Linked DNA regions of Tamandua tetradactyla. The protein of the gene in region 1 purifies or fractionates together with the protein of each later gene. This does not show direct contact. Links are inferred from orthologs where the notes say so. Each region holds a gene or a part of one and is shown in the gene's direction. Other genes may lie near its edges.

What was found.
Region 2: the proteins of CD81 (region 1) and ITGB1 purify together in Homo sapiens (affinity purification with western blotting; 4 studies listed by BioGRID and IntAct, with this or other methods). This does not show direct contact. The link is inferred for Tamandua tetradactyla from reciprocal best matches to the Homo sapiens genes CD81 and ITGB1.
Region 3: the proteins of CD81 (region 1) and IGSF8 purify together in Homo sapiens (co-immunoprecipitation; 3 studies listed by BioGRID and IntAct, with this or other methods). This does not show direct contact. The link is inferred for Tamandua tetradactyla from reciprocal best matches to the Homo sapiens genes CD81 and IGSF8.

Annotation. Positions count from the first base shown.
Region 1 is NC_135335.1:2,268,435-2,272,178, forward strand, and holds the start of CD81 (CD81 antigen), read left to right. Parts: upstream 1-943; 5' UTR 944-997; coding exon 998-1,063; intron 1,064-3,744. UniProt on the Homo sapiens protein: Structural component of specialized membrane microdomains known as tetraspanin-enriched microdomains (TERMs), which act as platforms for receptor clustering and signaling.
Region 2 is NC_135327.1:218,127,683-218,131,426, forward strand, and holds the start of ITGB1 (integrin beta-1), read left to right. Parts: upstream 1-1,396; 5' UTR 1,397-1,421; intron 1,422-3,744.
Region 3 is NC_135330.1:13,139,197-13,142,940, reverse strand, and holds the start of IGSF8 (immunoglobulin superfamily member 8), read left to right. Parts: upstream 1-1,330; 5' UTR 1,331-2,101; coding exon 2,102-2,192; intron 2,193-3,542; coding exon 3,543-3,744. UniProt on the Homo sapiens protein: Member of the immunoglobulin superfamily (IgSF) that links tetraspanin-enriched microdomains to the actin cytoskeleton and plays several important roles in innate and adaptive immunity.

The DNA of each region.
Region 1 (3,744 bases):
TACTTTTATTATCACGTCACATAGATAGGCACAAAAAACTAGCTCTAAACTCACGCTTGCAGCTCTTGTCCAAGTACAAAACCAACACAGATTTACAAATTAACCAGAGAAGACGACAGAATTAAGTAGAAGCAGCTGAGACTGATGGCTGGTTATCCGAATTTCAGCTACCCCTAAATTCTATTAAAAATGCAGTTCTCAGAGGCACCAGCCACACTTCACCGGCTCAAAGGTCACAAACAGCCAGGTGTCAGGCAGACACAGGGCTTTCGGCTATGGCAGCTGCGGGAGTGGCGGGTGGGGTGGGGTAGCTCCTAAAGGGTGGCTCTGTGGTCCGGAGGGTGGGGCGAACCGTGAGTGGGCTCTGCCTGGCCCTCCCTGTTTCTCTGGGCAAGAATGGGCAGAAACTTCATCTGTGGGTCACCCACCCCCACACCGTCCCCATGGGTCTCCCTTCCTCACTGCCCCAAGCCGGCGGGGGCGGGGGCCTGGCCACCAGGCTTTGGGGACCACAGCGGGAAGTGGGGCCTGGCGCCCCGGGGGGCTCCGGCCCCTCCCAGGGGATGAGGGGAAGCACAGCCTGCTTGACCGTCCTCCCGCCGGCCCAGACCTCCCAGCCAGCCCGCGCTGGTCTGCGGGAACCCCGTGGGGACACCAATGGACTGCCCGCACTCCCACCCCCCACGCCGCGCGCGGGCCCGACTCTGGACTCCCGGCGGCCCCGCGCGCTCGGGCCGCTGCGGGCAGCGGGCGGGGCGGGGGGCGGGGAAGGGGCGGGGCCTCGTGCGTCCTATAAGAGGCGCGGAGCGGGGCGCGCGCACGGCCAGAGAGCGAGCGCGCAGCAGCAGCAGCGGCCGCGGCGACCCGAGCGCGCACCGACCAGGCCTCCCGCGCCCCCCCCGCGCCCCCCGCGCCGCGTCCCTGACCCCCGGCCTCCCCCCGGCCCCTCGGCGCCCCCGCCCGCCGCCCAGGCCCGGCCCCCGCCGCTCCCGCCGCCATGGGGGTGGAAGGCTGCACCAAGTGCATCAAGTACCTGCTCTTCGTCTTCAATTTCGTCTTCTGGGTAAGCGGCGCCGCCGGAGGTCGGGGGGCGGGGTGGTTCCTGCGGGGACGCCCCGGACTCCCGCAGGCCGGGCCCCGGCTAGGCCCGAGCGCAGGCGGCGGCGCAGCCCGGCCGCGGCCCGCCAAGTTGCGGGGCCACCTGTGGGCGCCCGGCCTGCGTGCCCGGGGCGCGGGGGCTCGCCCGTGGTCGCTGCGCCCCTGCCCGCGGGGTCGGCGCGGGGTTACGGGACGCCCGGGCCTCTGTGCGTCAGGGGCTCCGGGCCGCGCGGCCGGGCCGGGGCATTTGGGGGGCCCTGGGGGGGGGTGACGTCGGCGCTCGGAGCCGCCGATCCCCACATGAGGGACTGGAGTGGGGGCTGCGGGACCCGAGGCCGCGCGCGCGGGCACCCCTCGGTGGGGGACGGCCGCAGCCCGCTCTCCCGAGCGGCTGATCCCGGGACCACCCTACTTAGGGGGGCGGGAGGGGGCTGGGGCGGGGCTCTTGGCGCCCCGCCCCCATGAGCTCATCGGGGCCACCGCCCCTGCGTCGGCCCACTGGCCCAGGCTTTGGGACCGTCCACAGCCCCCCCTCCAGCCCAGCCTCCAACCGCTGTGACCGCTTCTGAATCCTGGGGTCAGGAAAGCAGTGGGCTTGGCTCAGGCGTGTCTGCGTGTTGGGGTGCCTGCCCCCGCCTCGTCTGCCCATCCGTCGTGGGACCTCAGCCCTGGCCTTGTCTCCCATGCACCCTGGAGTGGGTGTGGGGGAGGGGGAGGGACTGCCGTGGAGGGGAGGGGGGGCCGGCGTCCCGAGTGGGCTCAAGACAGGGTCCCGGCACCAGTACCCAAGTCCTGGGCGAGAGCTTGCCTTCTGGGAAGAGGGACCCATGCTGTGGTCACCTCTGATGATGAATTTTTGGGGGACTGGAGAGTCTCCCTGGAGGAGCTGCTTTCTTCTGCCCTGCCTGAACTGCTGGGAATTCCCCGGGGGTGCGCTTTTCCTTTTGTTTCCATTTCCCGTTAGCCCTGGAATCTGGGAGCAGAGGGAGACTCCTTCAGGACTGGGGGCAGGGAGGTTGCTGGTGGGGGGCTGGCCTGACCGCGGGTCCCTTCCCTTGCTGCCCCTCCATCCCGGGCATGAACTCCCTCTCTCACAGGGGACAGTGGCCCGCATCTTTGTGGAGTCCAGCAGGGTAAACTTGCAGATGTCCCCCAGGCAGGCGCGTTTGGGCCTGGCACATCTGTTTCCCATCTGGACACTGAGGATGCTTGCGGGGGCAGTGAGGTATTTGGGAGGGGGGTGGGGGGACAGAGACTGGACTGAGCACCCAAGAGAGGGGTCGTGCTGTCCTTCTCCAAGCTGGGCTATACTGCAGGAGGGCACGGGGTCCCTCTGGCCAGGGCTGGGTGGGAGTTCCCAGCTGGGGGTCCTGGAGTGCTGGCTTCAGCATGTTTAAAGTCTGCCTGCCTTGGCCCCAGGAGACTGATATGGGATGTCCCAGTGGCGTCTCTGCTTGGATTTGGGGGTGTCGACCCTGGTTGGAAGGGAGGCACAGGCACAGGGAAGGGACTTGTGTTCCTGCCTCCTGGGACCCTGCTGGGCGAGTCCCTCCCGCACCTCCCCTGGGAGCTGGGCCAGTCGGCCGTTGTTTCCCCCCTCCCCCCCGCAGGGGTGGCAGTCTAACGAGTCCCCGGGGGGGCTGCTCTTTATTATCGAGGCTCCAGGAACGGCTTCTGAGCTGAGCCTCTCTGCCCTGTGCGGGAGCTGGTGGGCCACCTATCCAAGCACTTTGAGACACAGGAGCACCCACCCACCCCCTGGGCCCTGGGGGGGGGATGCAGAACAGAGTAGGGTGGGGCTGGCCGAGCCCCTGAACCACTTGGAGTGGGAGCTGGGTGGAGTCCGGCCTTGGCTTCCTGCCCTGTCCTAGGGGTCCCATTTCCCGGGGTTGTTGGTGACTTGGCACAGGGTGGGGGGGCAGGAGATGGGCGTTGGATGTGATGGCCAGCAGGGCAGCAGCCATGATGGGTCAGTGTGGCAGTGCCTGGGGGCCATCCCACGTGACATGGCTCTTCCACTCTATCCTGGCCCAGGTGCCCCTACATGGACACTCGCTCGCTCTCACTTGCCTTCCTCCTCCGGCCAAGACCCAGGCAGTGTGCAAAACCTGTTCTCAGCATGGGTCAGGAGCTTCCTGGTGGAGACAGCTGGCACCCAAGGGCGGGGCGGGGATTCCCTCGTGCCTGTTTTACCCCCAGTTCCCCTGGGCACTGGGGAGCTGCTCTCAGGCTGGCTGGTAGGAGCATATCTGTGGTTTGTCCAAGACGGGCTGGCCGCAGCCGAGGATGCTTGGCCCGTGGGTGCTTACACCCTCCAGATTGCGCAGGACTCAGGCACGGGGGAACCCGGGGACCCCATGGGTGCTAGCTTGGGCCCCGGGGACCCTGTGGGTGCTGGCTGAGGCCAGCCCCTCTCCCACCCTCCCCAGGCAGCATGTGAGACACTCCCCCGCTTTGATCCCTCAGGTCTCACCCTTGCCCACCCCTGTGTGGTCACTCTGTAAATTGACTTCCCTGTCTCCTGACAACTTCTAAGCCCACATGGGGAGATGGACCCCCAGGCCCCCCACGCTTTCAGTTTCCAGGCTGAAATCCCACCCTGGGGAGAGCTTTGGTCATGAAATCAGTCCAGCCTTGAGTTCTGGG
Region 2 (3,744 bases), on another chromosome or scaffold:
CATTTAGTGTACGGCTTGAGAGTTCCCTCCGCACGGGACGGCTGCGGCAGTGTGCCAGGAGGACCACCCGTCAAGGATGGGAGGCCCCAGCCCAGCTCTGCCACTGGCTCACTTTCTGGGAGACAAGGGCACGTCCGGCAAATGCTCTGGGTCTCTGGGTCCTCATTCCTAACAGCAAGAACAATAGGAGCCCATCTGCCTTGCAGAATGGAGGAGAGGATGAAGAAATCCAATCCAAAAGTATGCACTGGGCTCACAGTGTCCCCAGAAGCATAGGTGAGTAGGTGGGGGTGGGGGGCGAGACGGAAGTGGGTAAGAAGTAGGGTCTGGCCTGGACCATTTCACAATCTATTTGGGAGGAGAGAGGGCATGTGAAATAATGGCAAACCATGTGACAGTATCTGGGCAAGCACTCAGCTATGAACTATAACCTACAATTCCTCCAGGACTTGACAGCAAGGGAGGGTGCCAGGGATCCTGAAGGGGGAGGAGGGTTTGGTTTGGCAAAGGAGGGAAGAAGGACAGATATTCCTCGCGAGAGCAGGTAGGTTGATGGAAACCTGAAGACAGCAATGAGCAGGGCTTGTTCATGAGGTAGGCAGAAAGCTCAAGAAGAGCCGTGCAAAGTTAAATACAAACGAAAAAAAAAGAAGAGCCATGGGAAATGATTGTAGAGGTCGGATGAAACCAGAAAGAGGCAACAATGAGACCAGACAGAGGAGGTGATCCAGGAACAAAAAGAAACTTTATTTTCTCTTTATTTCCTTATTTCTCATCCACAGGGTTCCAGGAGGTTTTCAAGGTGTGTAAGGAAGGTCAGTCTGGCAGTAGCATGAAAGCTGTTCAGATGACCCGCTGTGTCCAATTCGTCAAAAGTGTTTGAACCAGAGTGACTACGAGAACGTCTTCTCTGTTTGAAAGATGAATTTTACACTGATACATTTTTTTTTTTTTGCTTTTCTCTATTGGGGAGTCACGTCAAGAGCATTCTGAATGCAGTTGACTTTTAATAACTACTGTGATATTTTTACACTGTGCAGTTACTCACGAAGCCTGTATTTTGAGTGTAGTTTTCTTGATTCTTCTCATTTAGATAGGACATCCATTTCTGCTCTACATTTAGCAATAAATGTTCGACATTGGGTCCCCTTAATTGTTTTTTACACGTGAAGCTCTGAAGCTGGGAAGGCAGAAGTGGTTGTAGAGTTCATCCATCCTTATTTGAATCAATGCATTAGTTTTCTGAACTTTAGCTGTCGGTTCTTAGCCGCAAGGTGAAATTCCAGCTAAATACACTAGATGGCAGGCAATAACTACATTCTGCTCATTCCATTCTATATTAAAACAACAACAAAAAAACGAAAGCCTCAATATGGAAAACTAAGCACAGCGACCCACAGTCTTTTGTCCCCTGACCTCAGGTAAGAAAACTCAAATTTTTATGCCCAGCATCTGTCTGCACCGCACTGAAAAAGTGGGGGGCATATTTTCAGACTATTAAGACGGTAGTCTCCTTTTTTCTTTTTTTGTTTGCTTGTTTTCATGGGATTTTTTGTTGTTATTGTTTAATTGATTTTCTCTTTAGTGTTTTGTCCAAGGTAGAAAAGAAACCCAGAAATGTGGAGGGAACAGATAATGAAAGTGGAGATGATGGCATTATGAAGTGAGATTATACTGACTATAATGCACTAATTTTTTGTTTTTACAAGGTAGGGGTAGGTACATTGGGGATGAAAAAGGCAGTGGGACTTGGAACTAGAAAGTGTAAGGTATGATTAGGATGACTAGCAATGGCTAAAAGCCACACAGCATGATCACCAAAGAACCCTTGACAGGATCCCAGAAATCTCCTGGCAGTCCAGGGCTCAGAAACGCTACTAAAAGTTACTTTAAACATCTACTTTATGCCTCTGTATAGGACCATACTTAAATCAGATTAGTAGGGAAAAGCCCAAATTACACTTCAAACCTGCCTCCAATATTGAATTGCTTTGCATCGTGGATTATTATTTGTTTTAAATAACAAATCCACTGAGTGCCTATTTTGTGCACCATGCTCTACAGTGAGTTCCCTTATATTGAAGTAATAGAAATGTAATAACTATCATCTCCACCCTAAAGGAGTCTAAAACCTATGAAGCCCGTGAGACTTCTGCATATTTTTAATATTCTAACAATAGTCAATGTCCTTCTATTCATTCTCCAGTTATATTTCGAAAGTATCATAGTTTTATTTGAGCATGAAATTTGGGTGATATTCCGTTAACAATTCCCCTGATAAAGTCTCTGATATTTTTACACATCTAGTTTGAAATGTCACCAAGAAAGCTATCCATTTAAAGCTAGTTAGATCCTATTCCAAAGATTTCTTATTTCTGCACATTTCCTTAAATCTCTGGTCATTCCGAATAACCTGGAGGTTTTGAATGGCCATCTTCGCTAGGAAAAAACTGATGGATTTATTTAGAGTTATGTTTCTGCAAGATAGGCCATTGTATAGGTTTGCTCTCTCCCCGGAACTTCCTCTCCTCGTCGCGCTCTCCATATTTAAAGTGGGATGAACTGTTCCTTTGCGTAACAGCAGGCAGCGTTGGGTCCTAATAAACGAATCGCCGAGGGGCAGCATAGCGTGGTGGGCGCCCACTGCCCCTGCCATCCGCCCCATTCAGTGGCGCCTCGCTTGCTTGCTCTGTTTAAGTGCAGCCCAGCTCCTCGCAGTTTTGGGGACAATCACACGTGGTAGCGAAGCAGGGCTTCGGAGAACAGCCGCGGGACTACAGCGAGGGAGACCGCGCCGGCTGCGAGGCGGAGCCAGGCGGGCTGCTGGGCGGAGCTAGGCGGCGTTCCCGGGCTAAGCTGCCACGTCTCCCAGGCCGCGGCCACCCCCCTTCCCCCTTTCTGGGTCCCGGGGTCCGGCGAGGGAGGGAGGGGAGACCACTCTGTGAAGATCACGTCTTCCCTTAGGGGCTGAGTAAAAGCACCCTGAGGATGCAACCGCCTTAATCATTGCCTTTCACCATTTTCAGGACAGAAACTATAGCGGCCGCCAGGGGTATAAGGTTTTTGTTAGTGAAATTTCACTTTCCGGTGTTCCCGGGGAAGCCAGGCTTCTGTGTGAGCCCCATGACCATATATAGGTAGAAAACTGCAGGACGGGGGGATAAAAAAAAAAAAAAAAAAAAAAAAAAAGAGGACCCGAGGAGCAGCCTGAGTCAGTTGCCTTAAGGATGAGTGATTTTTGCAAGGGTGAGGATGAAATGCGCCTTCAACATACTTTGTTGCTAGCAGGGTTGAGTCTGCAGATGAATCAAGAGACAAATCAGAAAAAGGAAGTGTCGCAAATGCCAGCACACTCACGGAAATCCGAAGGCATAAGAGGTGTTAAACAGTTATTAAAATTCTGGAAGACTGATGAAAGACAGGCATTCCTCAAGCTGGAGGGATTTTTTTTTAAATAACTTACTGTCTGTTTCTATATTTACTTATTTTTTATTTCAAGAAAACAAAAAAAATATGCCGATAGAAACAAACTACCTTAGGATCTAGCACAAAATCTCTGAATCAGAAGCATTGTAGGTTAAAGAAATGCGAATATGGGTTCTAGGCATGAGGTGACCTTGCTGACAAGTCGAAATTATTATGTATGTGTACGATCATAGTTTTGATGTTTGTGACATATTAGTCACTGGCAGACTGAAAAATAGAATAATCAAGAATTTTAACTAGACAGATTTTAAGAGGAGG
Region 3 (3,744 bases), on another chromosome or scaffold:
GGGTTGGGGGGATGCCCCCTGTGCGGGGCGGGTGTGAATGTGTTTGAGCCGAGGTGCCGCCAGCTCTGCCGGGCTGCAGCGGTAGCCGGGGCCTGAGGCTGGACTGGGCGGGGCAGAGGGCGGAGCCTGAGATGGGGCGGGGGCGGGGCGGGGCGGGGCCGGACGGAGGGGGCGGGGCCGGGCGGGAAGCGTCTCCGGGAGTTGCGGAGGGCGGGAGGGAAAGCAGTGGGAGGAGGAGGAGAGGAGGGGAGGAGGAAGGCGGCTTGGCCTCTGCCGCTCGGCTCGGCTTAGCTCACCCACGCCTCGCTGCTCTGCTTCGTGCCCCCCACCTGGGCATGCGCCCCCCGCGCCCCCGGTCCCCCCGAGCCTGCGCCGCCCCCCGGAGCCTCCCCAGAGCCGACCGCGCAGAATGGGCGCCCTCGGCCCCACGCAGCTACCCCCGCCGCCGCCGCTGCTGCTGTTGCTGTTAATGCTGGGTAAGCCGGGCCCCTGGCACCAGCTCGCCGGGCAGGTGCCTGCCAACGGCAGCCAGCCCGGCCCACCCTTCCAGCGTTTCCCCTCGCACCCGCTTTCTCCGTCGGAACACCTCCGGCCTCCCGGGGTTCAGTGCCCAGCTGCGCTGTGTGGCCGCCCGCTGAGGCAGTCTTGGGGAGGGTGAGAGCACCCCAGCTCTAGGCCCTGGGGCTGGGGCGCAGCGAGGACCCCCCCCAAAGTGCCGTCCCGAGGCAGCACCAGGCCTCCGGGGACCAGGCCCCACTTCTCAGCCGGCCTACCCAGGCCCTGGAATCTCTGTCCCCAGCTCAGCTTCAGGCGTGGCCTTGGGTGCTCGCCCTGTGTGGTGCCGGCCTATCTTCATAATTGCCCCCGAGTTAGCTGGAGGCCCCGGGGCTGGCTCTGCCCATGATCTTTGAATAAGTCCCCTAATTGACCCCCTCCCCACTTCATTATCTCAGATTGGGGCCAGTCCCCTCTCTCACCCCCTCTGCCCTGCACTGGGTCTCTCTTTGCCCCTCTTCCCCTCTCCCAGATGCCACTTGGTTTTGCAGCCCCTAGCTGGTCATCACACCCCTTAAAGTCTCAGCCTCCCGGCCTCAGAACCCAGGTCCCATGGAGACTGATCCTGGGCTCTCCAAGCACCCTATCTATTGTGGTGGGGTGTTTATGGTGGGATGTTCTGGACCACCCCTGAGTGGCAGCATGGAGGTAGTGACAGTGGGGTTGCTTTGGCCTGAACTGGAGGGCTCCCTGTAGGAGGTGAACTGGGGGAGGAGTGTGGCATCATGAGGGTGAGGGGTGGGGTGTTGGTAGCGGTGGCTCCGGTGGCAGGATTTGGAGCTGCCCTAGTCGAGGCAGACACCTAGCCCCAGCTGCCTTTTCCTAGTTCAGAGCTCCACAGCAGCCCTAAGCTGAGTATCCACCTGTCACATAGGGCCGTGGGCCCTCCATGGCAAAGAGGAGTCCTCTCCATGGAGCTCTGGGACCAAAGGCAGGAGGGTGTACAGAAAGGAAGGCGCTGCGGGGCCCTGTTGCCTAGCACAGATATCGTTTTTTCCCAGTGGGCAGTACAGTACAAAGAGGAGCCCAAGGGAGGTGGGGAAGTGTGATACAGAGAGATGGAAGAGGAGCCGGCCCAGCCCTGCGCATCCACCACATATGGCGCTGACATTCATTTCACAAATGGCGTCATTTCACCAATAAGGAAAATGTAACTTGCCCCACATACCATACCTAGTGAGAGCTGGAGTCAAATTTGAACTCAAATCAGTCTCTCCAGAGCAGGCCTCTTTGTTCTCCCTCCCCTCTCCTTGGTGGAGGAGAGGAGGGGACTTGGCTGGAGAGAGAGAACTACATGTGGCAGCTGGATTTCCTAAGGCTATGGGGGTGACTTTCCCATGGGGATCTCCAGGCATCAGCAGTTGTGGAGCCAGGAAGGTGGGAGGGAACCTTTCTGAGCAGAGTCTGCCCTAAGGCACTGGCCGGGGAAGTTATCAGCTCGGCAGTCTCTGCCCATCACCCTGATTATGAAACGTGCCTCAGGCAGGGCCCTCCTGAGTCACACACTCACTCACTCTCTGAGCTGGAGGCTCTCTGCTCTTCTCCGATGTGGAAACTGAGGCCTGGCAAAGGAAGGGACTGGCCTCAGACCATCCAGCTGGAGTCCCAATTCCCAGCCTCTGCTCAACCAACCAACCGTGAGTTTGCCCCAGTGACTCAGCCACAGGAAGAAGGAGCCAGCAGGCTGGCTGGGGTAGGAGAGGAAGTCAGGAGGAGCTGCTCTGGGTGGCGGAGTTTGACCACAGACTCGTGGCATTGCCCTCCATCCCCTGCAGAAAGGCCATGGGTAACCCCCTGGAAGGCCTGGAAATGAGACCAGTGGTGAGGTCAGTCCCCTCAGACGTCGCCTTGGAGTCTCCCCTTTTACCTCCCTGGACGGGCCTGTCGAAGTCACCCAGGGGCCCTAGGATCTTGGCCCAAACTATATAGTTCTCTTTCCTTACCTTTCACATCTGTAAAATGGGGGAAGGAGGCTGACCTTACATTCTGGGTTTCTGTGATCCTCTCTAGTGGGGGCTATGGAAGGATGGTAAGACAGGAAAAAGAACCTGAGCCCTCCAAGGCTGCCAGGACTTTCTGCCGGGGCTGGGTAGAATGTGGAGATGGAGTTAGGGTACAGATGCAGGGTTTGGCCCCTCTGGGGAGACAGATGCCTGTCTACAGAAAGGAAGCCATATGTGAGTGAATGCCCACTCTATGCAAATGTAGGCTTCCTTAGAGAGTTGAGGGGTGGGGGTGGGGGGTTGCCTTGTGCAGCTGGGCCAGCCTGCAAGGTTGGCAGTTGCTGGGGAGGGGATCGTCTGCCCCTGGAGGCCAGGGCAGAACCTATTTCTTGCCCCAGAAGCCCCAGATGTCTCAGCAGCCCTGTGGGGCGGGAGAAACAGTGAGCTCATGGCACAGCTGGAGGGGGAGGGCATTGTGTGCCAAGAGAATTGACTGGGTCTGTGCCCTGTCTCGGCTTGGGCCGCTGGCTCCATTGTCTGGAGTCTCTTGGCCCAGGTGACACAGTTGAGTCAACCAGCCCTTTTGAGCAAGAGTTTGTCAGCTCCCTTCAAGCAAGGGAGGGGAGACAGGTGGTCTCAGAATTCCTTAGCCAGAAGGCTCCTCTGACCAAGCTCTGGTGGAGTAATGGCAGACACTGGGGGAAGAGGGGAAGTAGGGAGTAGAAGTGGGAGGTCGGGGGTAGGCATAGATAGGTATAGTTGGAATTGCTAAGTCAATATCAAAGCTTCCCTTTCTGCCCTTAGGGACTCCGCTTCTTGTCTTCCAGAAATGGGTTTTGAGGCAAGATTGGGCCTGTACCCCTTTCTTGAGACCTAGGTGTCTTACCTCCCAGCATCCTTTCCCTGCTGTCAGAACAGGACCTAAGCTGTCTGCCAGTTACCCTCAGGTTTCTTTGCATTCATGGGCAGGGGTCAAGAATGGGTTGGCAGTGGTGGGGCTAGAATGGTGACCCAGGCACCCCCTTCTCCTGCCCTGCCCTACAGGAGTTGGATGCTCTGCCCGGGAGGTGCTAGTCCCCGAGGGACCCTTGTACCGCGTGGCTGGCACAGCTGTCTCCATCTCCTGCAATGTCAGTGGCTACGAGGGCCCTGCCCAGCAGGACTTCGAGTGGTTCCTGTACAGGCCCGAGGCCCCAGAGGCCGCACTGGGCATTGTCAGCACCAGGGACACCCGGTTCTCCTACGC